Linked DNA regions of Canis lupus familiaris. The protein of the gene in region 1 interacts with the protein of each later gene in a pairwise test. Links are inferred from orthologs where the notes say so. Each region holds a gene or a part of one and is shown in the gene's direction. Other genes may lie near its edges. The genes, in order: HOMEZ, DNTTIP1, MED18, RNF8, SH3RF2, SMYD1 and NCK2.

Region 1 (4,202 bases):
CCCCATTCTCAGCTTTAGAGAGCCAACACCTGAATCTTCTAGTTCTTCCCAAATAGAGCTGCCCCAGGGCCTGGGGGTAAGCTGGTGGTCTAATCTGGAATGGGAAATACTAGAAGTTTGAAGCAATCTTTAGAGATGTGTTACATATTAGGCATTGGGATGAGTCCTTTCCCCTAAAGGCTGGTGACTATATGAACAGGAACAATTTAACATATAATACGTCAGCTGTGGACGAGACAGCACTGTAAGAGAAAACATTACCCTGGTTAGGGGCTTGAACCCTTGAAGCAACACAGCTGGAACATTGCCCATTTCTCTCATCTAGACCTCAGATGTTTCCCTACACCAACCTGTCTTAACACCTACGAGCCTTCTTCTTGTACCTTGTTTCTCTTTATGAATGCAGCTCATTATTTCTCTTCATAGTAAGTCCTAACCCCTGAACTTTTCAGTCTAACACCCGCCTTCCCTTCTAACACCTGTGTTTCTCTGGAGCAACTCTGGATCCCTGCAATCTGCAAGTCATATAATCAGAGACCTGGAAAAGCTTATCTTTAGAGATCACTGGGGTCCCTGCTTCAGTACAGATGAGAACACAGGTCCGGAGATGGAGTGACTTCAGCAAGGTCAGAGAATTTGTTAGTGCAGCTGGAGATGGGGCTTAACCCCAGCCTTCCTGACCATATCCCACTCCCAGGCTAGAAAACAGGCTGCTGCACAATCAGACCTGGGGTTTTTCATGGCAAGGATAATATCACAAATGTTTCATTTTCTGCTGCTAGTTTCCACTCCCTTTTCTATACCGGCATAAAAAGAAACAAAAGGCACTTGTAGTTTTCTCTGTTCTCCCAAGCCTTGGCACTTTGGGTGATATTGCTAAGGAACAGTGAAGTTGCTAAAAAAAAAAAAAAAAAGACTGAATAACTCACCCATTGACTAGCTAACCTGGAGAGGAATTGCATGTTTGCTATGTGAATCCCCCCAAACCACAGTTCTCATCAGGCCGTCCCAGAGTGTCCTCATCCCCTTCACAGCGCAGCCCTGTTCTCTGGGCCCCAATCCCACTAGCGCTGAGCCTCACTTCAGCTTCCTCATGCAACTGCCCTCCCTTCTGGTTAAGAGGCCTCATGTTTGAAATAAAGGTAAAATATGAAAGTATATTATAAGATACTGAGATAAATTGATTTTTTCGGGGGGGGGGGGTGGCAAGAGACCCAGCGGCAAGATTCCTCTTCCCTATTTCCCATTTCTTGGTCATCTCATTTCCTAAAAGCCCTGTCCATTGGTGTCCTATTGCTACACAAAAGTTGGATGGGCAGAAGATACAGAGGAGCTGGGCAGCACTGGTATAAGACACCCCAATAGAATCCCACCATTTGGGTAGTGGCAGGAAAGTTATCAGGGGGCCCAGCTCTAGTTCCCTAGCACCCAGCACCAATTCCTGGTACAGTTAAAGGATAAAATCCCCGAGTTTCCCCTTGTGTCGGGGGACCATCTAAGTTACATTCTTCTTAAGCACTGAAGGGCAGAGCAAAGCCCTTTTCTCTATCAAGGGCAACCCTAAAGTAAAGCACAAGAAATATGAAGAGGAAAAGCAAAGACCTCTGTCTAATCCAGAGTGGAACAATAAATATTAAAGTGAGGCATCCTTGAAAAAGATCAGGTTCTAACATAATTTTGACTTCCACATCACCTGAACAATGAGAGAATTCAGTTACCCACAAATGAGACAATGTTTCTAATAGGAAAGCCCTAACCTGAGAATAATCAGATTCTCCTAATTTCATCATAATGGCCAAGTTGTGATGTCACTACAGAGCACCCACACTTACGTTGTGAAGCTAGATATGCTGAAGGGTAGAGTCAGCATGAGGAGCAGACACCCAAAGAGAGGTAAGTGGGGGGCTTCCCAGGGTTTTTCTCTGTGGCTTATTGCCTAAAGTCCCTCCGTGGCCCTAATGTCTTTCCTGGCTTCTCACAGTTTAGTGCTACGTCTGTCTGAAATTCTTCCACAAATTCCTTCACTGCAGCTTTAGCTATCCCAAATCTTTTAATAGTTGCAGTTCTGATTGGTCAGCCCTCAGCTTTTGGATTTCTTAGGAGACCGGGCACAAAATGGTGGAGCATGTTTCCCCTAAGTGAGGCAGAAACTCCCCATATCCATTTGGGTTGTCCCAGGGGTAGATGCTAGTTTTGGGGTGCCTGAAGCACAATTTTTGGGGCTTTTTAAAAAACTTATTCATGAGACACAGAGGCTGAGACATAGGCAGAGGGAGAAACAGGCTCCCCATGGGGAGTCCAATGCAGGACTCTATCCCAGGACACCGAGATCACACCCTGAGCCAAAGGCAGATGCTCAACCACTGAGCCACCCAGATGCCCCTTTTTGGAGACTTTTAAAAGAAAAACACATTAGTCACAAAAGTGAAAATAGTTTAGAATGAGAAAAGATAAAAATTTTAAAGAGCTGACAAATACAATATCATAAAATCAAGAAAAATAAAATTTTAAAACCTACTTGACAAGCATTTTTTTTTTTTTTTACAATTTTATTTCTGAGTGCATGCTCTTGATAGCTTCTATGATGAGAATGTTTTCTCTAAGGAGTATAGAAAAGTCTTCTACATGACACTTTTTTTTATTCTTAGTGATTTAGAAAATTTTCACCTTCACACTTTATAAGTGATAAGAATATCACAATTTTGGGCAGCCCTGGTGGCGCAGCGGTTTAGCGCCGCCTGCAGCCCAGGGCGTGATCCTGGAGACCCTGGATCGAGACCCTGGATCGAGTCCCACGTCAGGCTCTCTGTATGATGCCTGCTTCTCCCTCTGTCTGCTTCTGATGTCTGCTTCTCCCTCTGCCTCTCTCTCTCTCTGTATCTATGAATAAATAAATAAAATCTTAAAAAAAAATTAAAAAAAATCACAATTTTTTTCAGATTTTTATCAAACTTGAAAAAAACACTATCAAATTTCCTTGATGTATGTGATATAAAATTTCAGAGCATTTCAAATTTGTAATGACTAATATGCTCTGGATCGTTGACATTCGTATTAATGTAGATGTATTAGTCAGCTAGAGCTGCCATACAAAAATACAACAGACTGGGTGGCTTTAGCCAGAAATTCCCTTACAATTGTAGAGGGTAGAAGTCTGAGGTCAAGGTATCCACAGGGTTGACTTCATTCTGAGGTTCCTCTCCTTGGCTTATAGATACCCATCTCCCTATGTGTTCCCATGGTCGTTCCTATGTTCGTGTCTGTGTCCAAATTTCCTATTCTAAAGATACCAGTCATATTGGATTAGGACTCACCCTGAAGACCTCAGTTTAACTTAACTACCTCTTTATAGACCTTGTTTCCAAATACAGTTATATTCCAAGGTATCGAGACTTAGTACTTCACAGTAAGAATATGGAGTGTGTGTGTGTGTGTGTGGGGGGGTGGACAACACAGTTCAGCCCCTAACACTATGCTTACTATTAAACTATTTACAGAAGTAACTGCAAACCACAGTGATAGACCTACTCAACCCAAAGCAAATGTATCCCCAACTTAATTTCCTTAACCAATCCCAAAATGCCTATGGCCCCTCCACTGCCACTTGACAAAAGAAGTATAATGGAGGGGAAGTCAGAAAGGAAAGAGACATCAATCTTAGTCAATTGCAGTTGAAATATTTTTTTCAAGTTTTACAAAAAACTATGACCATGTTAACATGTTCTTGGGGCTCCTTCAGTGCTTTGGAAGAGGTCTGTGCAAGAGATGGCCCTGAAACTTCAGCTTCTTTAGCTATAGGGTAAATGTGCCTCTTGGTTAATCCTGCTAATATCTAAGTCATGCAAAGGAAGAGAGAACTTCCACCAATATGGGGGATTAACATCTCTATATTGAGGATGGCATGATGAGTCCCCATTCTTCAGCACTAGTCCCTGGAAGAGCTGGGAAGGTTCGTTATCTTGCTAAAGGTGGGGCCCTCCCATCTCGGATAGCCTGGATCTCTTCCTCTCTTCCAATCCCCATACAGTCTACTCCATCTTCTAAAGTTTTAGAGTGAAATCCACATAAGAGGGAGTCTTCAGCACACACTCTAGAATAGGGGCAGGTGGATTTCTTCTATCCTTGGATTTTTCCTCTCCTAAACCTGTCCAGTTCTGCTCCCTGTTCTGGAGTCTCAGGAGTGAGTGTCTTTTTTTTTTTTT
Region 2 (3,549 bases), on another chromosome or scaffold:
TACAGGGCACCTGGATGGCTCAGTAGTTGAGCATCTGCCTTTGGCTCGGGTCATGATCCCAGGGTCTCAGGATTGAGTTCCACATCAGGCTTCCCTCAAGAAGCCTGCTTCTCCCTCTGCCTATGTCTCTGGCTCTCTCTGGCTCTCATGAATGAATAAATACAATCTTAAAAAAAAAAAAAAAAGGTTATACATTACGTCTGCGGCCCCAGACCAGAGACTATATCTTACGTCTTTATTGTCAGTACTTGGTTTCTTGAATCAGCGGTTTGGAATAGTAGATGAGGATGGATGGTGGTAGGAGAAGGCAGGAGAAGAGTATTTCTATCCTGCCCACCAGGTCAGCCTCATCCTCATCAATCTCTGTCTTTTGCATAGTGGGACCCAGCCCGGCTGAATGAATCTACCACCTTTGTGTTGGGATCTCGAGCCAACAAGTAAGTTTAAGAGCTTTGGCACTGAGGGAGGGGGCACCCCAGGGGCTCACCCATAGGACTGTAGCTGCTGGAATCCTTACCACTCCTCCATTCCTTTTCAGGGCCCTGGGGATGGGGGGCACCAGAGGGAGAATCTACATCAAGCACCCGCACCTCTTTAAGGTAAGTGAAAGCTGGGAGGCAGGCAGGCCATTGCAGTGTGCGTGTTGGGAGTTCTGGAGGGCACAGAGATTCTGGGAACAAATACTGATCTGGGAGTCAGGACTTCTGGGTTCCAGTTACCCCTCTGCCCTTAACCTTCACCTCTTGTAATTTAATGAACACCTCTGCCCCTCAATAACAACTACTTTCCTGGGTGTCTCAGGCAGTTAAGCATCTGCCTTCAGGTCAGGTCATGATCCCAGATCCCAGGACCAAGACCAGTATCAGGCTCCCTGCTCAGCAGGAAGTCTGCTGCTCCCTCTGCCCCTCACCAGGCTTATGCTCTCACTCTCTCTCAAATGAATAAAATCTAAAAAAACAACAACTACTTTCCTTATGTGCTTGTTGCAGACCAAACAGCATTTCACCTGCTGCACTTGCATTACCTCTGGGAGCTATCCTGTAAAATAGGGATGGCTGTTATTGTTTTACAAATTAAAACACACACACACACACACACACACACACACACACACAAGGCTAAATGACTTGCCCAAAGTTTTCAGCCAGTACATGGTGAGTAGACTCAGTCTTGGTCTGTCTTCAGCAAAGCCTGAGCTCTTAACCATTACCTTATTCAAGCAGCAGTTCTAACCCTTCTCAAAGAGAGGTACTTTGGTCTCTACTATTTAGAAAATAATAGGGAACATGATATCAGTTACCCTCTTCAATGAAGTGGGTTTTTTGTTTTTTTTTTTAAGATTTTATTTATTTATTCATGAGAAACACAGAGAGAGGCAGAGACATAGGCAGAGGGAGAAGCAGGCTCCATGCAGGGAGGCCGATGTGGGGCTTGATCCCGGGTCCCCAGGATCGGGCCCTTGTCTGAAGGCGGTGCTAAACCGCTGAGCCACCCGGGCTGCCCGAATTTGTGTTTTTTTAATCACAAAAGTATCCAAATATATTGGAAAAATAGTGCATGTGTGTTCAAGATATGCATTTTTGCATGTATACCTAAGGCTTGGAGTTCCAGAATTACAGCTCTGTCCAATACATTCTGTGCAAGTTAAGATTCTTTGAAGGGCAGACCTGCTGCTTCTACTTCTTCAGTCTTACACCCTGAGATCCTCAGCACCTAGACACTGTGGCCTACGTGCTACTTCATTTTCCTTCAAGTGTCTTCAACTCCTGCTATTCCCTCTGATGACCTTCCTCCCCTCTCTGCCCCTTCTGCAAGATCCACCTCTTCTAAAACCCTTCCTGCATCGTTCCCCCCCAGTGTATGTGCTCTGGGACCTCCTTGGAATTCCAGGAGCATAGTGGTTAAGACCATGGTTTCAGTCCTGGTTCCACTACTTAGCAGCTGTATGACCTTGGGCAAGTGGCTTCACATTTCTTTTTCTTTTTTTTTTTTTTTTTAATTGTTTAGTTAACATATAGTGTATTATTAGTTTCAGAGATAGAGTTCAGTGATTCATTAGTTGTATATAACACCCAGTGCTCATTACATCACGTGCCTCCTTAATGCTTGTCACCCAGTTACCCCATCCCCATCCTGGATCCGGGATCAAGTCCCACATCGGGCTCCTTGCATGGATCCTGCTTCTCCCTCTGCCTGGGTCTCTGCCTCTCTCTTTCTCTCTTTCTCTCTCTCTCTCTCTCTCTCTCTCTCTCATGAATATATAAAATCTAAGACAAAAAAAGTGATTTTAAAAACTTAAAGTGGGAGTGCCTGGCTGGCTCAGTTGGTGGAGCACTCTTGATCTTGGGGTTGTAAGTTCAAGGCCTATGTTGGGTGTAGAAGTTACTTAAAAATAAAACCTTGGGGCACCTGGGTGACTCAGTCAGTTAAGCATCTCCCTTCAGCTTAGGTCATGATCCCAAGATTCTGGGATTGAGCCCCGCATCAGGCTCCCTGCTCAAGGGGGAGTCTGCTTCTTTCTCTCATTCTGCCTCTGTGTGCACTCTCTCTCTCTCTCAAATAAATAAAATATTTTTAATAAAATCTTTAAAAACAATAATAAAAATTAAAATGAAGGATATGTGACAAAGATGTATATGGCCAGCAAAACCTAAAATATTTACTAGCTGGCCCTTTATAGAAAAAGTAAGCTGACTACTATAAAGCTGACCACTTAGAGATTTGTCCATGTTATTAAATTTAATCTCCCTCATTTTATTTCTAACAAATAAGAATTCATAGCATAGATATTCCATAATTTTTCAATACTCCCCTATTAGTGGATATTTATGTTTTTCCAGCAGTTTTGCTATTACAAAAAATGCTGTCTGTCCCAAACATCTCATATGAACATGTGTGGGTGATTCTGCAGGAATCAGAAATCCCTGGAAATAAGATTGAAACTGAGTTAGAAAATGCATACTTTTGGGGTGTCTGGGTGGCTCAGCGGCTGAGTGTCTGCCTTTGGCTCGGCTCAGGGCGTGATCCCACATCAGGCTTCCTGCATGGAGCCTGCTTCTCTCTCTGCCTGTGTCTCTGCCTCTCTCTCTGTGTCTTTCATGAATAAATAAATAAAATCTTAAAAAAAAAAAAAAAAAGAAGAAGAAGAAGAAGAAAAGAGGGCAGCCCTGGTGGCGCAGCAGTTTGGCGCCGCCTACAGCCCAGGGTATGATCCTGGAGACCCGGGATTGAGTCCCACATTGGGCTCCCTGCATGGAGCCTGCTTCTCCCTCTGTCTGTGTCTCTGCCTCTCTCTCTCGCTCTGTCTTTCATGAATAAATAAAATCTTTTAAAAATAAATAAAATAAATTTTTAAAAAATGCATACTTTCAAATTTTTTTATATTACTTGGGAAGTGAAATAATTATTTAAACTCAAAGGCTAGGGATCCCTGGGTGGCGCAGCGGTTTGGCGCCTGCCTTTGGCCCAGGGCGCGATCCTGGAGACCAGGGATCGAATCCCACGTCGGGCTCCCGGTGCATGGAGCCTGCTTCTCCCTCTGCCTGTGTC
Region 3 (4,322 bases), on another chromosome or scaffold:
CATTTATTTCAGTCCCTGACCTCAGATTCTATACCCTAATTCTATTTAACTCAGTATCCTTTTGAACATACTGTTCCCTTCACCTGAAATTCCCTTTTCTCCCTTCTTTATCTAACACCTATTGACCCTTCAAGTTACTCTGGGCATTGATTACCTTTTCCAGGAATCCTTCCTTGATGCCCCCAAGATGGACCAAGCATCCTGCTTGCTTCCAAAGGGGATGAGCTGTTGATATCTCATTTTCCTATTGAATCAAACTTCATAGTACAGACTCCTTAGTTTAACCCTCTGATTCCCACAACATGCCTGTAAACTCATTTGAGGATACAGATGGAGTTAACACCTAACAAGATGTCGAGAACAGTCTAGACCTTCAAGAAATGTTCAATATTTTAAAAATTAATGAATGGGAGATAGTGGATTACAGCAGGGGAACTAGAGCTGTAAGTCCAGTACAGTAATTAAGAGAGGGCTCTGGGGATCCCTGGGTGGCTCAGCGGTTTAGGGCCTGCCTTTGGCCCAGGGCGTGATCCTGGAGTCCTGGGATCGAGTCCCATGTTGGGCTTCTGCATGGAGCCTGCTTCTCCCTCTGCCTGTGTGTGTGTGTGTGTGTGTGTGTATGTGTGTGTGTGATGAATAAATTAAAAAAAAATTTTTTAAGTGAGAGGGCTCTGAAGTCAACAGCTTATATTGGTATTGCAGCCATTCCTTTGCATGTTATTTAACAACTCGTTGCTTGGGTTTCCCCATCAGTAAAATTACCGTAATCATTGTACTTGGCTCATAGGGCTACTTTGAGGATCAAACTTAAAGTTTTGGTATTTTGTTCATTATTTATTGCCTTAAACTTGTAAAATACCGCATTGAAATAGTATTTATCTTAGCTACCGAGTTTCTGGTGTCCCTTTATTTTTTTCACTCCGAGGGTACCTCTTTCACTTCATTCTAGTCCTCACTTTGCACCTTATATGCTTGACAAATATTAGCAGCGTGCAACAAACATTCATTGAATTTATCTTCCTATATTTTCAAATTAAGTAAAATATATACAGTGAAGTGAACAAATATTAAGTGTATTGCTGAGCTCCCTAATTGTTCAGAACATTATGCTTTGCAATAAAAGGTGTCTCTTGGTCGTCAGGTACCCAACAAAAAAAGTCTATTTTGTAAGTCTGTTTACCGCAGCTCCCTTCCCTGGGCTCTCTTTTGCCCCCGTCAGTTTCAAGAGATTTCCTAGACAATATCATTCCAGATCGTCGAGCTTGAAAAAATATTTTCCTAGAGGACGCCAAATGACGTCAAGCGCCTCCCCTCCCCCGCCGTAAATCCCCGGGAAGCCTCCAAGGCAGGCCGCCATCTTCCATACCGCGGCCCTGCGTCTCGCGCATGCGCTTCTGTTTGCGAGGCTGCAAAGAGCGCGGTTTGGTTTTTTTTTAATCCCTTCTCGGCACCCTTACGTCGCGGAGCACCAGTGTCAAGATTTGCGTGACGTCCGCTTCCTGCCGGAAGTGGAAAGAAAAGAAGTTGTTGCACTACCTGGAGGGCTTTAACTTTAGGGCTGGGGGCTAGTTATTTAAATGCTGCTCGGAGGTGCTGGAGAGGATACATTACCCACTCTGCGAGAAGAGACCAGAGCGCGCTCGGAGGTGTGTTTCTAGTGTAAGTGGGCACGTGTCTTTGATGCTGCCTTAAGAGGACCTAAACCATCCTTTTAAAAGAATTTCACGCTTCCCCCCTCGCTCTCTTGGAAAGGCGTTTTCAGAGAGACGGAACGCCTAGATTTCAGTCTGATTCAAGCTCCGCCACCGACTTGCTGTGTATCCTTGGGCCCCTCTCCGAGACTCAATTATCTTCATCTATAAATTGAAGAGTAGACAATCTTTTAACAGACAACCTTTCAGTTCTGAATGTTTTTACATGTCCGAGCCACAAAGTCTTGGTTGGTTAAATATCGTTGGCCCCATTTTATAAGGAAGACATTGACTTCCAGGTTTGATGACTTCCTCAAAATTACACAGAAAACGTTTAGACACTGAGACTGGAAAGGTTGTGCTGTAACTCCATGACCAAGTATCCTTTGTATATTTCTGTATCATCAGTTCCTGAAGCTGGCCTATAGCAGTTACTCAAAAAATTTGAATGGTTGAATGAATCTTTTCATATCGAGGCCAGTGACACAAACAGATCTATTGTTTCTGTGCCCCGCTCATGTATTAACGATGTAACACTTCTCCAGGTGTTTATTGTGCTTTACTTGACTGGAGAGTCCGAAACCAGTTCTGTTGTCTTCAGCTCAATCAGACACCATGGAGGCACCGCCAGTCACCATGATGCCTGTCACTGGAGGCACCATTAATATGATGGAGTACCTGCTGCAGGGTAAGTAAACCAGGCAACTTGGATGACCTGTTTTCCTCTTTCTGATCAGCACTGTGGGGATGAGAGGCTGTTACACAAAGGCAGCCTGCATAATTTCTGGCACCCAATAAGACAACAACTTTTAAAAAATCTTTAAATGTTAATTATGGTCACCAACACATAATATTAAGTGTACATACAGTTCAGTAGTGTTAAGTATATTCACATTGTTGTATAACTGATCTCTAGGAACTTTTTCATCTTGCAGAACTGAAAGTCTATACCCATTAAACACTAATTACTCCTTTCCCCTCCCTCAGCTCTTGGCAACCACTTTTTGACTTTGTTTCTGATTTTGGCTACTTTTGATATCTTAGATGAATGGAATCATACAGTGCTTGTCTTTTTCTGACTGGCTTGTTTTGCTTAGCATAATGTCCTCAAGGTTCATCCTTATTGTAGCATCTGACGGGATCCCCCTTTTTAAAGCTGAATAACATTTCATTGTGTGTATAATCTGTTTATTTATAATTTATTTATTTACATTTTTAAAAATTTATTTATTTGTCATTTGGGTTGCTTTCACCTTTTGGTTATCATGAATAATGCTGCAGCAAACGTGAGTGTGCAAATATCTCTTCAAGATCCTGCTTTGAATTTTCGATATATGCCCAGAAGTGGGATTACTGGATCATATAGTAATTCTATGATACTGTCATTAGCCCCATTTTATAGATCAGGAAACAGGTAAAGTACCTTGCCCAGATGAGAAAACTCAAGATCCAGAGAGGGCAGTGATTTTCAGGAGGTCATTTAATGTTAGTGGAAGAGGTTAGACTTTAATTCAGATCATCCATTTAGTAACTTAATATGAACAACATTATTAATTTTCACTCCTCAAGCTACTTTTCAGTCTTTCCCAACCCAGTAAGTGCCACTGTCATTCACCAGTTGCATGAACCAAGCATTTAGGAGTCAATCTGTTTTTCACTTTACCCCCACATCTAGCATATCTCTAAATCCTATTCATTTTACTTCCAATGTATCTTTTAAATATTCTCTCCACCTACAGTACCACACCCTGGTTTACCATCCCTCATTTGAACTACTTTAGTAACCTTTTACTTATTCCATTGTTTCTACTTCTGACTAGCACTATCTCTTCTCATACCAATAGGTAGTCAGCTTTTTATTTTTTTTATTATCTTTTTTTTTTTTTTTTTAAAGTAAACTTTATGCCTGGCATAGGGCTTGAACTCAGGACCTGTACATTAAGAGTTGTGTGCTCAGGACACCTGGGTGGCTCAGTTGGGGGAGCATCCAACTATTAACTTTGGCTTAGGTCCTGATCTCAGGGTCTGGGATCAAGCCCCATGTCAGGCTCTGCCCTCAGTGGGGAGTCTGTTTCCCTCCCCCTCCATCTGCCCGTCTCCACCTGTGCAGGGCTCTCTATCAAATCTTTAAAAAAAAAAAAAGGTTGCATGCTCTAGCAACTGAACCTGGTAACAGTGTAACACTTCTCCAGGTGTTTCTTATGCTTTGCTTGACTGGAGATTCTGAAACCAGTTCTGTTGTTTGCAACTTAATCAGACACCATGAAGGCACCTCCAGTCAGCATTATGCCTGTCACTGGAGGCACCATTAATATGATAGAGTCCCTGCTGCAGGGGACCTACCAGGCATCCCCAGTAGTTATCTTTTTTTTAAATTTGTTTTATTATTTAAAAATTCAAACATAGGAACATCTGGGTGGCTCAGCAGTTGAGTATCTGCCTTCGGCTCAGGGTGTGATCCTGAGTTCCAGGATCAAGTCCCACATCGAGTTCTCTGCAGGGAGCTCTCTGCTTCATCCTCTGCCTATGTCTCTGCCTCTCTCTGTGTCATTAATAAAAACATAAAAAATATATTTTAAAAAGTTTAAACATAAAGAAAATGGAGACTGATATACTGAACAGTCCATTTCT
Region 4 (3,549 bases), on another chromosome or scaffold:
TTTGTTTTGTTTTGTTTTGTTTTAAATACCATCAGGACCAAACTAAACAAATCTGCCAGCCACATGCAGTCCACAGGCCATCAGTTTGGAACCTTTGACATGAAACCAGTACCTGAGGCTGACTACATCTCTCAGCCTACCCTTCCCTATCCAGACAGGCCTGGAGCAGAATACAGAAAGGAGATTCAACTTTCATTTGGTTTGAGATCTTTATCTTTTGTTTAAATCACATAGTACCTTCTTTCTTAATTCCCAGAAAACCACCACATCTTTTTAAACCTAGCAATTTTTAAGTTTTCAGGGAACTTGACTTTAGTTAAAATGGGTCCAGACCTCTTTGCTGCCCAAAGCAGTGTACAGTCTTTACTTTGATTAGAAGAGATAAAAAAAAGATGAAAAATTAATCAGCCCCTCAGATATATCCTAAATGGCCTTTCCTTTCCCTTCAGGGGCTTCTGACACTTTTGGTCTGGGGATGAGGTGCTAAATTAGAAGCAAGAGAAAACACCTAGCATCCCCACCCCCAAAAGTGTGTCCACAAGTGGTCTGACCTCTTGGGGAAAGGAAAGGGAAATTGGACTGCAGACCTACAGGAGGAGGAGGTGGCAAGCATCATACAGCTTAGATCCCAATCAGCCCCCTGCCTCCAGGGAGTATAAATAACATCCTTATTTTGCAGAAGAGGCAGCTGCAAGGAATACAGGGGGCCTTATAAATTAATTCAGGCTTCCTGCCTCTATGGAGTGTTTTTCATGTCTGCTTTCATGTCCAGTGAGTTCTTGGTTGCTTGAGATGATTTTATATCACCTCTAAACTGCCATTGGTTATAGGATACATAAAGCCTCATTCTGGTCTTGGGTGGTTGGTGTGCTGAGTATGCTACCTTCAGTTTTTCTCATTTGGTTCTGGGAAAGGAGACAGAACCTGTGGTGCAAATGCAGAAGAAGTGGAGAGAGGAAAGAAAGGAAGACAGTGCCCTGTATCAGAAAGCAGTTCTGAGAAGCCATAACCCTTAGGGAAAGAGTTTTAGTATCATGTTGCTGTGCCAGGTTGAATTTTTTATTTAGAGTCCTGAATATTATTCCAAACAATTGCTCCCTGTCCTGTTTTGCATTCTCGTCGGTTCCCCCAAATGACAGGTGGGGTTGTGTGTCTTTTCAGGAAGAGAAGGAGAAGATGCAAGCCCAGAAGGAGGAAGTCCTTAGCCACGTGAATGATGTGCTAGAGAATGAGCTCCAGTGTATTATTTGCTCAGAATACTTCATTGAGGTAATTATAAGCAGTGGCTCATGCCTTTTTGTTCTCTCTACCGCACGGAGCCTCAGCTACACAGGTTCTGCCCTAGGGAAACATTCTGAAGCGATTTTTATTCTAGGAATCTGTTGTAGTTACTTGACTTCAAAGTGACCTCGAGAGATGGCCATATCTCATTTGTTTTTGTAGTTTTCTTCACCTTCACTGATCTTTTTCTCATTTTGCGTGATGTTGAGTGTTTATTTGGTACAATCACTATTTTTAGCTGCAGTAAAGCCTGTATTTCTTTGGTGTTGGGAGAAAACAGGGCCACATGGTATTAGATTTTTGAAGTATCGGTGTAAAGCTACTCTATAAAGCTTTTCTTTCTTTACTCTGAATGGACACAGTGCTGAGAGTAGGCAGCTCGTGCAGCCTGTGACGGGGTGGTAAATGTCACTGATGTGTGGTCACTTTGGGACTTCAGCAGCCAGGTGGAACATATTTCAGGGACTCTGAGGCTCCCTATGAAAACAAAACCTCTTCTAGGTTACCATTTGTCATCATGTCATATTTTTCCTTAGGACTTTATTTTTCACAAATTCTACCATTTGTGACCAGTTCATCATACGCCATTCATCTGAAACTCAAGTTAAATGACAGTGCTTTTCAGACTTCTTTAAAAAGGAAAATGCATGCACGCACTCTGTCCTCCTTTCTGGTAGTCTCTAGGGAGGTTGAGTGTATTAGCCTCCCGAGAAATCCCTCCTGGGCAGATCTGTTTCTTTTGCTGTGGATCAAATTGACACCATTTCCCCCATTGTTTCTAGTTATTTAATTCCCTACTTTGTAGAAACTCAGTCTGGCTTTGACAGGGCTCTGCTGGAGGAAGGCCAGGGAAGGGGGGTTCAGAAAGGTGATCAGTTAGCCCACCCAGAGCATCTCTACCGATGTAGAAGAGACAACCTGACCCATGCTTTGTTTACAGCAGACTGTCTGACCTTTTCCATGATCACCTTGTAAAGTCAGTATCGGAAAGAAGTTTTATTTTAATCAGGTTTTTAGTCATGTTTGTGAGGATTTATCTCACATAGTTAACAAAATAACTCCTAGTTGACTTTCTGTGCTCAACTTGGCATTTGAAAAATGCATAATTTCTGTTATTTTCCACTGCTATCCTTAAAAGCAGGAATGAAGACTTTTGAGCCTCAGAAAAACTTGTATTTTAGGAGATGTACATAAACAACAGTAATAAAGAGCATGGTTTTTATATTTTTAGAAGCAGATAGGGCAGGGTGCCTGGGTGGCTCAGTTGGTTAAATGTCTGACTCTTGTTCTGGCTCAAGTCATGCTCTTAAGATCAGGGGATCAAGCCCTGTGCTGGGTGCAGAGTCTGCTTCAGATTCTCTCTTCTTCTCCTTCCCTCCCTCTCACTTACTCACTCTCAAGTAAATAAATAAAATATTTTTTTAAAAAAAAGGATCTTGTTTAAAAGAAAAGTGGAAAGGACCCTGGCAGAAATCTGACCATTGGAGTTACTTAGAGGAGTTACTCAGATTTAGACTCCCTTCCGCTTTCCCTCTTCTCACAAGTGTATTTACTTGATTCAGTCACTGTCAGTGAACCCATTACATTTTTCCCATTTTTTCAGTTTCTTTTTTCCCAGCCTTTTTAGTTGTCTTTTAACATGTATTCTACTTTTTAAGTTTCTTTGAGTACAGATGATGCTTTCTACCATTCTATATACTGAATATTCAGAATGTGCTCCCCAGCGTCTATTAAAATTGAAGTTCTGGTTCACCATTAGCAGGCTATACATTTGTTTTCCATGAAAAAATTGGTAATGTATTTGTACCAAACATTCACACACTTACAAATCATACTTGTGTCCAGTGACATTTGTTTGCAAGGTAGCTAATCTGGCATTGGCAGTGTCATCTGAGTTGGTGGAACAAGACAGACAAATCAGCCTACATCTATGAACTTACCTTTGAGAAAGAAAATGAATCATCTAACTTAAAATTTCCTATCCCCAAGAACAATTTTAATACCATCTGTAAGCTTTCTAGATGGGATTAGAGTTAAATTTCCATTTGGCCTTGGCAGTGAACTCCTGTCCTAGCTTTGAGATCACAACTGTGCTGGGAAAGTAAGTATGATAGTTCTGATATGTGTGTTCACATTCCCATTGTAGGCTGTCACCTTGAACTGTGCCCACAGTTTCTGCTCCTACTGTATCAATGAATGGATGAAGCGGAAGGTAGAATGCCCCATTTGTCGGAAGGACATCAAGTCCAAAACCCACTCCCTGGTTCT
Region 5 (3,549 bases), on another chromosome or scaffold:
ATAAATAAATAAATTTAAAAAAAATACATATATATTTACAATGAAAGCCTAGTTCTCATTTATAATAAAAACATAACTTTTTAACCTCTTCTGTTATATTTAGTATATATTATGAGTAATTGGCAATTTTATTAATTATAGATCAGTGTCATAATTTTAATGACTTAGGATTTTCCATAATTTTTCAACCAATTCCATTTATGATATCCACAACACCATGCTAAGACTCCTAGTACACATGTCTTCGCTCACTTGTCCACTCGTTTCCCTAGGATGAGCTGTGTACCTGTGGTTTTCTATCTCCCTGGGCCCTCCTTACTCTATCCAGGGACCAGGGACCAGCAGAAAAACACTGCTTTATCATCCCATCAGCAAGGGACTGTTCAGGGCTTGTCTCTACCCCTAAACTGCTTGATACTCCTTTTCAAATGAACATCGCAGACTCGGAAGTTTCTCGCAGACTGAAATACTATACTGCCTGCTTACATCCCCTTATGAATAGCAAGACTACCCCCGAGAGAGGGGACTACTTCACCCCACTGCTGAGGAAAGCACAAAGTAAAATCCAAACCCAGGTGACACTGAAGGGCTAGTAAACATAAGTTAGGAGAACTTTCAGTTTGCCACACTGACTTCAAGCAAGACCAAAGTGAAACTGTTTCTGCATGTAGAAACCTGTTTCAATTAGGAAAAAAAAAGATGCACTTGATTGAAACAATTATTTAGATAGACAACTAATTTAACAAATGATAGTTCTTTAGCTGAGTTTTTTTTTAAGTGATGACTGATTTCTGACTAATTCTTTGTCTCAGTGCTTCCTAATGATCCAAACACTCATGAGGTTTACACTTTGTAGAGGAGACTGAAGACAAAATATGTTACATCACTCGCATATAGCTCTTTCTTTCCTATTTTTTATATTAACTTATTTATTGATTTAAGTAATTTCTACACCCAGTGTGGAGCTTGAACTCACAACCCCGAGATCAAGAGTTGCATTCTTCTCCAACTGAGGCAGCCCAGTGCACCTCATATAGCACTTTGAATTTTCTGGGACTTTTCACCTCAGTTTTTTTCCCCATCAACACCGAGGAATAGGTAAAACTGGTATCATTAACCTTTCCTTACAGATGATGATTATAAGAGATGTCATTTATTGAGCCCATACTATTTATCAAGCAATATGCTAAATGCATCATTATAAATATTTAGTCTTCAGGGGCACCTAGTGGCTCAGTCAGTTAAGTGTCTGCCTTCAGCTCAGGTCATGATCCCAGAGTCCCTGGATCAAGCCCTGTGTCGGGCTCCCTGCTCAGAGAGAAGTCTCCTTCTTCCTCTCCCTTTGCCCCTCTCTCTCCACTCATGCTCTCTCTCACTCCCTCACTCTATCTCTCAAATAAATAAGATCTTAAAAACATTTAGTCTTCAAGACTATCCTTATGAAGTACATATTCTATTTTTACCCCATTTTATAGACGGATACGATTTATGAAAGATTAAGTGACTTGACCATAGTCACATGAGAAGAAAGTGGTAGAGCCAGAATTCTCCCAATTAGTATGCAGGCTCCAGAGAGAGTCACTGACTCACTCAAGTTCACATAGTTATGGAGTCAAGTCCAAAATCCTGTTCCCTGCATATTGATTAAGAACAGGGACTCTGAAACTAGGAAATCCACTATTTCCCTGCTGTGTCTTCTTAGACAAGGTACTAAACCACTCTGTGCCTCAGTTGCCCTACTTAGGAAAGGGAGTAATAAGCATCCAACCCTTAGCACATAGGAAGTGCTCATTTGGGACACCTGGGTGGCTCAGCAGTTGAGCGTCTGCCTTCAGCCCAGGGCATGATCCCAGGGTCCCGGGATCAAGTCCCACATGGGGCTCACTGCATAGAGCCTGCTTCTCCCTCTGCCTATATCTCTGCCTCTCTGTCTCTCTCTGTGCTTCTCATGAATAAATAGAATCTTTAAAAAAAAAAAAAAAAAGGAAGTGCTCAGTAATCAGCTATCAATGTTCTATCTTCTGTCCCCTGAGCATATAAACTAAGGACATATTTCATTGGTCTGTGCCACACTGCAGGTGCCTCGAGCAAAGGCCTTATGCAACTACCGAGGGCAGAATCCTGGTGACCTGAGGTTTAATAAGGGAGATGTCATCCTTCTCCGGAGACAGCTGGATGAGAACTGGTACCAGGGGGAGATCAATGGAGTCAGTGGCATCTTCCCAGCCAGCTCCGTGGAAGTCATCAAACAACTTCCCCAGCCACCCCCACTGTGCCGGGCCCTCTACAACTTCGACCTACGAGACAAAGACAAGAGTGAGAACCAGGACTGCCTGACCTTCCTCAAGGTAAGATTCTGGGCAGCCGTAGAGGTCACCAGCAACTACACAGAGACTGTAGCAGAACCTGGACTTGTTTAATACTTGCTGATTTTTAAAATGTGTACCTATTTTACACATAAATGTTTCTATGTATGTACGTGTGCATATATATGTACTGTGTGTTTGTACCATTCAAAACTAAATGGAAGTTGCCAAAGAAATCTACTAGTAAGAGTTTGATGAAAATCCTTAAACCTTTTATATTACAATTGCAAAAATAAGTATTCACATCTTCATTCATTCATTCTACAGTCACTTTTTTTTTTTTTTTTTTTTTTTTTTTTTTTTTTTTTTTCTACAGTCACTTTTGAGCACCTCTTCTTCACAGGCCCTGGGGGATGCAGCATGAAAAAGTCACAGTCTCTGCCCTTAGGCAGAGTAGTAGAAGAGACAGATAAGTGGACAGAAATTTACAAATACAGTTTGACTGTGCTGGGCAAAATAGAGCTCTTACTATCTTTACCATGTATTTGTGAGGACATTCTTGCTGACTAAGTTCTGAGTACCTAATTCTACTCTTTGCAACATTCTATTTAATTGTAAACATTGTATTCAAAGCACTCCAGAAACACACAATAACATAATTATGCCTTTATATATAAATAACCTCTTACAAGATATTATTTTCCAAGCATATTAATTACCCTAAGATTTTTTTGCCTCTTTTATTTATCAGATAATTTCTCACCATGTGCAAGTAATAACACTTTTTTTAAAGATTTTATTTATTTATTCATGAGAGACAGAGAGAGAGAGAGAGAGAGAGAGAGAGGGAGGGAGGGAGGGAGAAGCAGGCTCCATGCAGGGAGCCGGACTTGAGACTTGATCTCCAGGATCAGGCCCTGGGCTGAAGGCGGCACTAAACTGCTAAGCCACCCGAGCTGTCCAATAACAACACTTTTACTGAAGTCTAGATTACTTTAATTCTGTGTATTCCATATTTATTATTCCTTACACATTCGAATTCTCTCACAAAGGCCAAAGTTGGGGTGATTTTCACTCTTTGCTGCTTATGCTAAGTACACCAGATACTAGAAGTAGATCTGGTATGGAAACTTAGGAAAGGTCTTTTATTTTGTCAAACATTTTTATTCCACCACTCCCAGAAATGAGATTTGATTCAGATTGCCTCAAACTAGATAACCTCACTGTCCTCCATATTTTGAAA
Region 6 (4,016 bases), on another chromosome or scaffold:
TGCTATTACAATATCATTGACTATATTCCCTGTGCTGTACCTTTCATCTCTGTGACATATTCATTCCACAATTGGAAGCTGTATCTCCTACTCCCCTTTTGCCCATTCTCCCACCCCTCTCCCCTCTGGCAGCCACCAGTATGTTCTCTGTATTTGTGGGTCTCTGCTTTGTTTTGTTGTTTTGCTTTTTAGATTCCACATGTAGGTGAAATCATATGGTATTTGTCTTTTCAACTTTAGTAACAGCTGTCTGGCAATCAAGAAGAGTAGCTTTTAGGGGCACCTGGCTAGCTCAGTCAGTAGAGCATGTGACTCTTGATCTCCAGGTTGTGAGTCTAAGCTCCACATTGGGTGTAGAGTTTACTTAAAAGGAAAAAAGAAAAAGAACAGTGGCATTTAGGTCAATGGACATTTTAGAATTGCCCCTCCAATGCCCTCATTCCTGGGAAAGAGGAAAGACAGAGCATGTTGGTATTTTCCTGGCAGCAGACACATGTTTAAGGGAGACTTGATAAAAGGATAGAAATGAGGCTTTTCATTGCCAAAGCTTGCCACTTCTCCAAATACAGCCTGCATCCAGCACACCTGCATCATCAGGGAGCTCCCAGACCTTCATGCCCTGGGTGGGAGTGCTGTGGGAGCCCCAGGTAGTACTGAAGAAGAGAAATGCCCCTGGTAGCCTAAATAATAATGTTATGTATATGCCAAGGGCGTCAGTTTGGCATCTGCTGTATTCTGCAAACAGTCTGCCTGTGGAGGAGAGGGAAGGCGACAAGGGGCCCATCACACTTGAGAAAGTAGAAGCCTGACAGCTGAAGGTTCCCAGAGCAGCAAGCATCACCTCTTCTCTTGGACCATTTCAGCTGTCTGCTTTGGATTGACAGAGGCATCTGGCTGCTAAAAATACCATACTGACCAAGTGCTCCCTATTCCAACTAAAGCTGAGCACAACTGCCATCCAGGACTGAGCTGCTTCTTGCAAAGGAACTTTTCAGTTTTCAGACCCAATCTGAGAGGCACACCAGCCCATGGTCATTTCTGCCTTGTCAGTTTTGCTAGGTGATGAATGAGACCCTTGTCAGATCACTGTCCTCTCTTCCGCCCCATTCCCACCTCCAGGAAATGTGGCAGAGGGGGAGGTGAGGGCCCAGCAGCTGAGGGGGTAGGGAAGGGGAGGTGCTTGTCCATTTATAGGCTTGCTCTTTGGGATGCTGAAGGTGCTGAAATAGCAAGGACAAGGGACTTGGCTCAGTGTGATATATCCACTGAGCTGCCTGAGGGACTCTGAGATGACAATAGGGAGAATGGAGAACGTGGAGGTCTTCACTTCTGAGGGCAAGGGCAGAGGTCTGAAGGCCACTAAGGAGTTCTGGGCTGCGGATGTCATCTTTGCTGAGCGGGCTTATTCCGCAGTAGTTTTTGACAGGTATGAAATGTGGGGTGTTGCCACCTTTTCTGTTGGTGTGGCTCATGCCAAACTCTGAAATCCTTTGCTCTCAAAATCCTAAGGGAAAGGGATAGAATCCATGTGATCATTTTTAACAAAATGGCACTTCTGACAGCTGTTTTCTGGTATCTTTTTTTTTCTGCAAAGAGTCATTGTTAATGTGATTTACTCTGGTCCCTAGGAGGGTTGTAAAGATAAGCAAAGGCTTTGGGGCACTTTTTTCACAGTACATTGAATATTGAATGTGGAACGTGGCTGAGTGGGTGTGCTGTGTGTGGGGAGGGCAGAGGGAAGGGAAATGGAAAGGTGGGTGTGGTCTATAGGAAACATTTTCCTACAGAAGGCTCCATGTTTTTAGCTTCTTGAGTATAATCAGTATATTAAAGCATAAAGTAATTGCTGAGACTTTAAAAAAACAATTGCAAATACACAAGTAACACTGAAATCCATTTACATTTGAAAAATTAGAATATTACCAAGAGGCTGAAATCCCTTTTTATCTTTTCCTCTGCCAATCCCAATCTTCTCTGTCTTTCCTCAGAGGTAATAGGTGTTATGATTTTAATGTGTTTACTTCTAGAATGTTCTTGCACTATTATATACATATATCACAATGTATAGCTGTAGTTTGTCTTTTTTTCTTAACAGAAGTGGCATCATATTTGAGATGTCATTCTAGAACTTGCTCTTTTCACTAAACATATTTTTGATATGTATCCTTATGAGAACTATAAGTCTACAGATAATTCTTTTAAATCCTCAAAGATCTACTTCTTTTACCCACATGTAGATCTATCTGTGTTGATCAATATGCTATGTGGATTGCCTATTTTAACTCCTGTAGATATTCTACCCAATAAATACATGGAAACTTATTTATCCACTTCCCTATTGAGAGACATTTGGTGGTTTCCAGCTTTTCATTAAAACAAACATTTCTGCAGTTATATCCTTGACAATGTCTACTTGTACACATGTGTGATTATTCTACAGGACATATGGCTAGAAGAGGAATTGTGTCATAGAGTGTACTGTTTGTATTTTAATAGGCTCTCCAAAGTGGCTCTGTTAAATTTATATTCCCATATAACAACCATATGCCTGCCCACTTGACTACCAAAGTTTTAAATTAGTGTTAAAGCTTTATTTTAAAAAAGCAAACAAAACAAAACACCTTGCCAAGTGATTAAATTGTAAGAATATTTTCTGAGCCCAAAGTTGGGGTGACCTGCCTGACATTGATGTGGTCTGAATCAAGATGGCCTCTAGTAATCTAGGCTTTGTGCTTGGCTCACTGTACTCACCATCCTGAGAATGGGCACTGCTTTCCAAGGATAATTTGATCAGCATTCAGATTTTCATTTCTTCCTGCCTACCAGGATCTTCAGGGAGAAGATAGTGAACGGAATATATGGCTGACGGTCACCTGAGGAATGTAAGGGGGCTGAGGTGACAGTAATACCTCTTCAACAGGGAGTTTGTCTTACTTTATTAGTTTATTTGTGTATGTTTTGTGGCTGGAGGTGAGTGCAGTTAAGGAGTCAGTGGGATTCAGAATTAAGACTAAAAAGTTAGAAAACAAAACCTCTGAACAATGATCTTGGTGCTGTCACTGTGTTGCCACATTGCCTTATGTAGAATACTTCCTTTGGTGTCTCTAGTTTCCTAAAAGTCGATATAGTCAATTAGTATCCCTTTTAAGAGCGTTTGGAGTTGAGTGGGTTTTCCTTCCATTTTAAAAGTAAAACTAAAAAAATAAGTAAATAAAAAAAATAAAAGTAAAACTAAGGAAGAAATAAAATATATTTTCACACAAAGGTACTAACCCTAAACGTTGTTGTATATTTCCTTCCAGCTTATTTTAAAACATAGGTTTCATTTGTACTACACAGCTGGGATTTTATTACAGAAACTATGATGTTTTACATTTAATAATTTAGCTACTTCTTTGTTACTATGTCCTCTTCATAAACATAGTATTTAATGGCTGCCTGCTTTCCTACCACTTCTTTATGACTGAATATTTGGGATGTTTATATGTTTTTCTTACTGTAAGTAAATCATTAATTTGAAGGAATGATTACAAAACAAATTTAGTATACATTGCAGATAAAGTGCTAACAAAGTGTTGTATAATTATTATTATTATTATTATTATTATTATTATTATAAAAATTGGGGTGATTTTAAATTGACTGAAAAAAATTAAAAAGAGATACTTTTAAAAAGTGATTTTTCCCAAGTTTGTCACTGCAAAAATGAGGGGGCTACTCTTTGGGTATACCTGGGATAGCCTAAAGAGGCAGCAAAGGAAACCTTTGCCCATCGGGTCCTTCCATTTTGCCACTTCATGAGACACAGCCACTGTAGATAAGAAACCTGAGTGGGGAGGTAGGATTGAGTCACTCACAAAAGAGGCACATTCTAATCCGTGTTACTGCAAGCCAGGCTTTCTGCCCTACCCTCCAAACACAAACATGAGGAAAGATTTTATTTTTAGTTGAGCACTGCATTAAGTGAAAATTCTTTCCAACAATATATGACATATATAGTATACATGAATATTATG
Region 7 (4,193 bases), on another chromosome or scaffold:
TGGGAGGTGGGTGAAAGTGAGCAACAGGAGGCTACTTGGAAGGCAATGGGGTGTACTGGAAAAAACACGAGTTTCGAAGTCAAGTATGTTTAGTTCTGACCCCAGTTCCTTCACTTACTGTTTCCATTTTTTTTATATGTATATGAGGATAATACTCTGTATATGTATACCTGTAACTCACACATGATACTATTATATATATTATATATAATTATTTTATACACACACAGATACACACACACACACATATAAAAGAAGTTTCATAAGTGTCATCAGTAACAATGTAAAAATTTGGATGGTGTCACTGGAAAGAGAAAAGAAGATACAAAGAGCTGTTTCAACAGCACCAGGACTCAGAATCATGAGGATTTAGACTGAGAGGGATCCCAAGGTCATCTTGCACTCTCTCCTCACTGCCTTTGGGGAGATCTTGGAGAGAGGGAAGGAAGGAAGAAATGAGATTGCAGTGAAGTTTCTCCAAGGAGCTGAGATGTCTGGTGGATTCTTGGCCAAGCCTGAGACCGTGGGAGGAGGAGCTACTTTGGGAAGAGGATAAATTTCATTCTGAACCTGGTGATATTGAAGAGATGATGAGCTGCCCAGAGAGACTGCAGACAATCTGGGGAATTCTCTAAGGCTACAGATCTGAGAGTTAATCACTGAACATCCAGACTGGAGGCATACAAAAAAATGATCAACTCTCTTAAAAAAAAACAAAAAAGGCACAAATCATTATAAAAACAAGGGGCCAAATTCTGCATCAGGAATATTACTGTTAGAGGTCAATATGCTCTCCAAGAGAATGATGTAGGAAGTTCAGAAGGGTAGCTGTGTTAGATAAATGAAAATAACTGAATTTCAGGTAATAGCAGAAATGCCACGTGCTTCTGAAGACTGCATAGGATAAAGATTAAGAAAGCGACATTGGATTTTAGATAGAGAATGTCCTTGGGGACTCTACCTTTGTAAAGGAAGGAAGAAGGAAGAGGAATTCAAGAACGGTGATTCAGTGATGGTTTACAAAGCAGACAAGTTAAAAACTGGGTCAATGTTATTATATGGATTTTGGGTAAACTAATTTAAAATTGGGTCAGACCATTTATTATAATTCTGCCTTCCTTATTAGTAAGACAAAAGGATGAACTGAGGCAGCTCTTTCCCCAAGGGCAAAGAGAAGGAGGCTATCCAGATTCCCTGATCTTGGATCCGTCCCTGCTCAGTACACTGTACCTACTCCCAGCTAGTGACCTACAGAGTGTGCCCTACAGGCAGGAAGGGTGCCAGGGACTGACATGGGAGCTAGGTAAACACGATCTCTCCATTTGTTAAATTTTAGATCGGTTAAGAAACACCTGTGCAAGGTTCCGCAGTTGAAAAAGCAGATAGTCAAAGGCTGTACTGTGACTTCAAAGGTATACTGGTTCTGGTTACCCAACCTGGATACTTCCTTTTGTGAACAAGGCAGAGGATCAATGGTTCAGCCTTGTCACCTTGGGTAAGTTATTATTGCCTTAATAGTAATGAGAAGCCAGGAGCCTAAGAAAGAATCTCATTAACATGGATCCAGGCTATTCCGCCAGGAAATCAGAATCACTTGAATAGTCGGGTTTCCTTTTGGGAAGCCGTGTGGGAAGGAGACTGGAGCACAGGCAGCTGGATGCATGTGCCTGTTAGAGGACAACTTGTGTTTCCCCTTCCTCCAGGGTTTTAATCTTCCGAATTTGTTTACAGGTAAGTCCCTGCGTGTGGCCAGGTGACCGGACCAGTCCCACTAGTAGTGACAAGGCCTGGGGGGGGGGGGGGTGCGGGGAGGGGCCCAGCCGCTGGCAGCGCCTGCCAGGTTCTGCCGGGTGGGCGCGGGGGGCTGGGCCGCAGGCGGGGCGGCGCGGGGCCGCGTGTCCTCTCTGCTCTCAAGAAGTGCTTCCGACGGGAATGATGGAGTACAAAAGTGTCTGTTTGGGAAAGTAAATAGATACAAGGCAAATAAATAAAAATGCCCAGAGGCAATTACAGAGAGGAAGTGACATTTTTATGTAAGTCACTTTTCTGATGGACCCCAGGCCTGCCTTGCCGAGGGTGCCGTGGGAATGCTTCCGGGAGGGGGCCGGCCGCCAAACAACTAGAGCGTCGCGATAAGAAAATCAAACAAAAAGAGGATGGAAAGGCCGCGCGGCAGTCACTGGGGGCTGGAAGTTGCTGCCTTTCTCTCCCCTGCCGTCCGCTCGCCGCCAGCGCTGCCCCAGTCCCCGCGCGGGCAGCCGGCAGCGGGCAGCGGGCAGCGGGCAGCCGGGACCCCCGCCCTCCCCGCGCCCCGCGCCCCCCGCGCCCCCCGCGCGCCCCGGCCGAGCCCCGGGTCCCCGCGCCGCCCGCCGCCCGCCCGCGCCGCCCCAGGTGGGAGCCGGGCCCCCGCCCCCCGCCCCCCTCGCCCGGGCCGGCCCTGGGCGGGGTCGCGCGCGGCCGGGGAGGAGCGGCGCGAGGAGGAGGAGGAGGAAGCGCGCGGAGGGGCGGGCGCAGCGCCGGGGGAGGGTCGCCGCCGCCGCCGCCGGGATCGTCAGGCCGGAGCCGCGCGGCCGAGCGGGCGGCGGGCGGCGGGAGGCGGGAGCGGCGGGAGGCTCGCGGCGGCGGCGGCGGCGGCGGGGTCCGCCCGGGCCGGCAGCGTCCGCCGCGCGGCGGGAGGAGGGAGCGGCGCAGACAAAGAGCGGCGCCTGGGCGGGCGCGGTGCGGCCGCCGCCCCGGGACCCGCGCCGCTGCCCTCCGCTCGGCGGGCGGCGCAGGAGGTAAGGCGGTGCCGGCGGGCGGGCGGGCGCGGGGCGGGGGCCGCCAAGTTGGGCCGCGCGGGGGGCGGCGCGCGCCCGGGGGCGGGGGCGGGGCGGGGGCGGGGGCCGTGCCCTGGGCGCCCCGCACCGCCCTGGGCCCCGCCGCGGCCTGCCCCCCGCTCCCGGCTGCGCACCTCCGCGCCCGCCTTCCGGGCCCCCCTGTGCGGGCCGGGCCGGGCCGGGCCGGGCGGGGGCGCGGGGGCGCGGGGGCAGGGCGGCGCTGCCGGGACCGGGGACCCGGGGCGCGCGGGGGCGGGGGCCGGGGGCGCGGGGGCGCGGGGACGAGCGGCCCCGGGAGGAAGCGCCGCGGCTCGCGGGGCCGCGGGAGGCCGCGGGAGGCCCGGAGAACTTGCTGTGCTTATGGCAACTCTCCTGACCCCGCACAAAGCTGCTGTCACGCCGCGTGGGGGAGGCCCTCGCCTGGGCGCGGGGCCGCGGGGCCCGGGGACGGTGCCAGGCTCCGCGCCGCGTCCCGCATGGGCAGGACCTCCCGCACCTGGAAGAAAGTTTCTCACGACGCTTGGCCTCCCGGTGTGTTCGGGGCGATCTAACCACCAAGTGGTTCTGGAAGAAACCGGCGTGTGGTTGGGTTTTAAGGCACTGAAGGCACCTCCCCCGTGAGCGCACCGAGTGTGGCGTTGCGTGGAGGCGTCTACTTTGCAGAAACGCCTTCGTGCGTGGACAGTAACGATCGCCTTGGAAGGTCTGCGGGGGATGCGGGGCGCGGCGGCTGGTGAACACCGGGCACCTGACTCTTCACGAGCTTTGTAAGGGCTTCAGGGACGGGGCAGGGACGGGGACAGTAGGCCTCTGTCACTTCAGACAATTGCGGTTGGCAGTTTCCCCTTTATTTGTTTTCGTTTATTTTGCCAACAGGTTTAAGGCTGAATCTGCCAACTTTGTGTCTGTATAAGGGGATGAGCAGGCCCCAGCGCTGGGCCCCCTCCTTCCGTTGAACCAAACAGAAACTGAACCACGGAGGCCAGCGGGCACGGCCTAGCCCCAGACCTGCAGGTAGGAGAGGCCCTCCCTGGTTCAGGCCCTGGCTTCTGGGAAGGGATTTGGGTAGGAATGAGAGTAATTCGGGTGTGTTTCATACCACTGCTGGTATATCGTTAGCAGCCCTGCTCTGCAAGTCTTAGAACGACTGAAAATGAAATTAACCAGGGCTACTATAACTTAATCAAAACAGATCTAAACTTTGCTTCTGAACACTCTCTTAACGCACCTACCAGGCGTTCCTGGGTGGGTGGGTGAGTGAACAGGATTCAGGCATGTGCCGCGTTTTATGAAAATAATGGTCGCCAGCGGACGCGCAGAGAAGAGATGGGCTTGACTGGCTGGGGAGGTGGGGCTGTTGATGGAGGTTTTTCGGTG

The links.
Region 2: the proteins of HOMEZ (region 1) and DNTTIP1 interact in binary tests that used the Homo sapiens proteins (3 or more experiments, as listed by UniProt). The two-hybrid records come from large-scale screens. The link is inferred for Canis lupus familiaris from reciprocal best matches to the Homo sapiens genes HOMEZ and DNTTIP1.
Region 3: the proteins of HOMEZ (region 1) and MED18 interact in binary tests that used the Homo sapiens proteins (3 or more experiments, as listed by UniProt). The two-hybrid records come from large-scale screens. The link is inferred for Canis lupus familiaris from reciprocal best matches to the Homo sapiens genes HOMEZ and MED18.
Region 4: the proteins of HOMEZ (region 1) and RNF8 interact in binary tests that used the Homo sapiens proteins (3 or more experiments, as listed by UniProt). The two-hybrid records come from large-scale screens. The link is inferred for Canis lupus familiaris from reciprocal best matches to the Homo sapiens genes HOMEZ and RNF8.
Region 5: the proteins of HOMEZ (region 1) and SH3RF2 interact in a two-hybrid assay, tested with the Homo sapiens proteins (2 studies listed by BioGRID). The two-hybrid records come from large-scale screens. The link is inferred for Canis lupus familiaris from reciprocal best matches to the Homo sapiens genes HOMEZ and SH3RF2.
Region 6: the proteins of HOMEZ (region 1) and SMYD1 interact in binary tests that used the Homo sapiens proteins (3 or more experiments, as listed by UniProt). The link is inferred for Canis lupus familiaris from reciprocal best matches to the Homo sapiens genes HOMEZ and SMYD1.
Region 7: the proteins of HOMEZ (region 1) and NCK2 interact in binary tests that used the Homo sapiens proteins (3 or more experiments, as listed by UniProt). The two-hybrid records come from large-scale screens. The link is inferred for Canis lupus familiaris from reciprocal best matches to the Homo sapiens genes HOMEZ and NCK2.

Annotation. Positions count from the first base shown.
Region 1 is NC_049229.1:3,678,691-3,682,892, reverse strand, and holds the start of HOMEZ (homeobox and leucine zipper protein Homez), read left to right. Parts: upstream 1-1,356; 5' UTR 1,357-1,805; coding exon 1,806-1,893; intron 1,894-4,202. UniProt on the Homo sapiens protein: May function as a transcriptional regulator.
Region 2 is NC_049245.1:33,743,191-33,746,739, forward strand, and holds part of DNTTIP1 (deoxynucleotidyltransferase terminal-interacting protein 1), read left to right. Parts: intron 1-378; coding exon 379-437; intron 438-538; coding exon 539-599; intron 600-3,549. UniProt on the Homo sapiens protein: Increases DNTT terminal deoxynucleotidyltransferase activity (in vitro). Also acts as a transcriptional regulator, binding to the consensus sequence 5'-GNTGCATG-3' following an AT-tract.
Region 3 is NC_049223.1:71,511,428-71,515,749, reverse strand, and holds the start of MED18 (mediator of RNA polymerase II transcription subunit 18), read left to right. Parts: upstream 1-1,480; 5' UTR 1,481-1,659; intron 1,660-2,236; 5' UTR 2,237-2,306; coding exon 2,307-2,379; intron 2,380-4,322. UniProt on the Homo sapiens protein: Component of the Mediator complex, a coactivator involved in the regulated transcription of nearly all RNA polymerase II-dependent genes.
Region 4 is NC_049233.1:6,586,601-6,590,149, forward strand, and holds part of RNF8 (E3 ubiquitin-protein ligase RNF8), read left to right. Parts: intron 1-1,161; coding exon 1,162-1,269; intron 1,270-3,427; coding exon 3,428-3,549. UniProt on the Homo sapiens protein: E3 ubiquitin-protein ligase that plays a key role in DNA damage signaling via 2 distinct roles: by mediating the 'Lys-63'-linked ubiquitination of histones H2A and H2AX and promoting the recruitment of DNA repair proteins at double-strand breaks (DSBs) sites, and by catalyzing 'Lys-48'-linked ubiquitination to remove target proteins from DNA damage sites.
Region 5 is NC_049223.1:39,611,247-39,614,795, forward strand, and holds part of SH3RF2 (E3 ubiquitin-protein ligase SH3RF2), read left to right. Parts: intron 1-2,078; coding exon 2,079-2,348; intron 2,349-3,549. UniProt on the Homo sapiens protein: Has E3 ubiquitin-protein ligase activity. Acts as an anti-apoptotic regulator of the JNK pathway by ubiquitinating and promoting the degradation of SH3RF1, a scaffold protein that is required for pro-apoptotic JNK activation.
Region 6 is NC_049238.1:38,578,828-38,582,843, reverse strand, and holds the start of SMYD1 (histone-lysine N-methyltransferase SMYD1), read left to right. Parts: upstream 1-1,210; 5' UTR 1,211-1,289; coding exon 1,290-1,426; intron 1,427-4,016. UniProt on the Homo sapiens protein: Methylates histone H3 at 'Lys-4' (H3K4me), seems able to perform both mono-, di-, and trimethylation. Acts as a transcriptional repressor. Essential for cardiomyocyte differentiation and cardiac morphogenesis.
Region 7 is NC_049231.1:38,784,221-38,788,413, reverse strand, and holds the start of NCK2 (cytoplasmic protein NCK2), read left to right. Parts: upstream 1-1,385; 5' UTR 1,386-1,495; intron 1,496-1,616; exon of another isoform or gene 1,617-1,731; intron 1,732-2,710; exon of another isoform or gene 2,711-2,777; intron 2,778-3,199; exon of another isoform or gene 3,200-3,583; intron 3,584-3,692; 5' UTR 3,693-3,830; intron 3,831-4,193. UniProt on the Homo sapiens protein: Adapter protein which associates with tyrosine-phosphorylated growth factor receptors or their cellular substrates. Maintains low levels of EIF2S1 phosphorylation by promoting its dephosphorylation by PP1.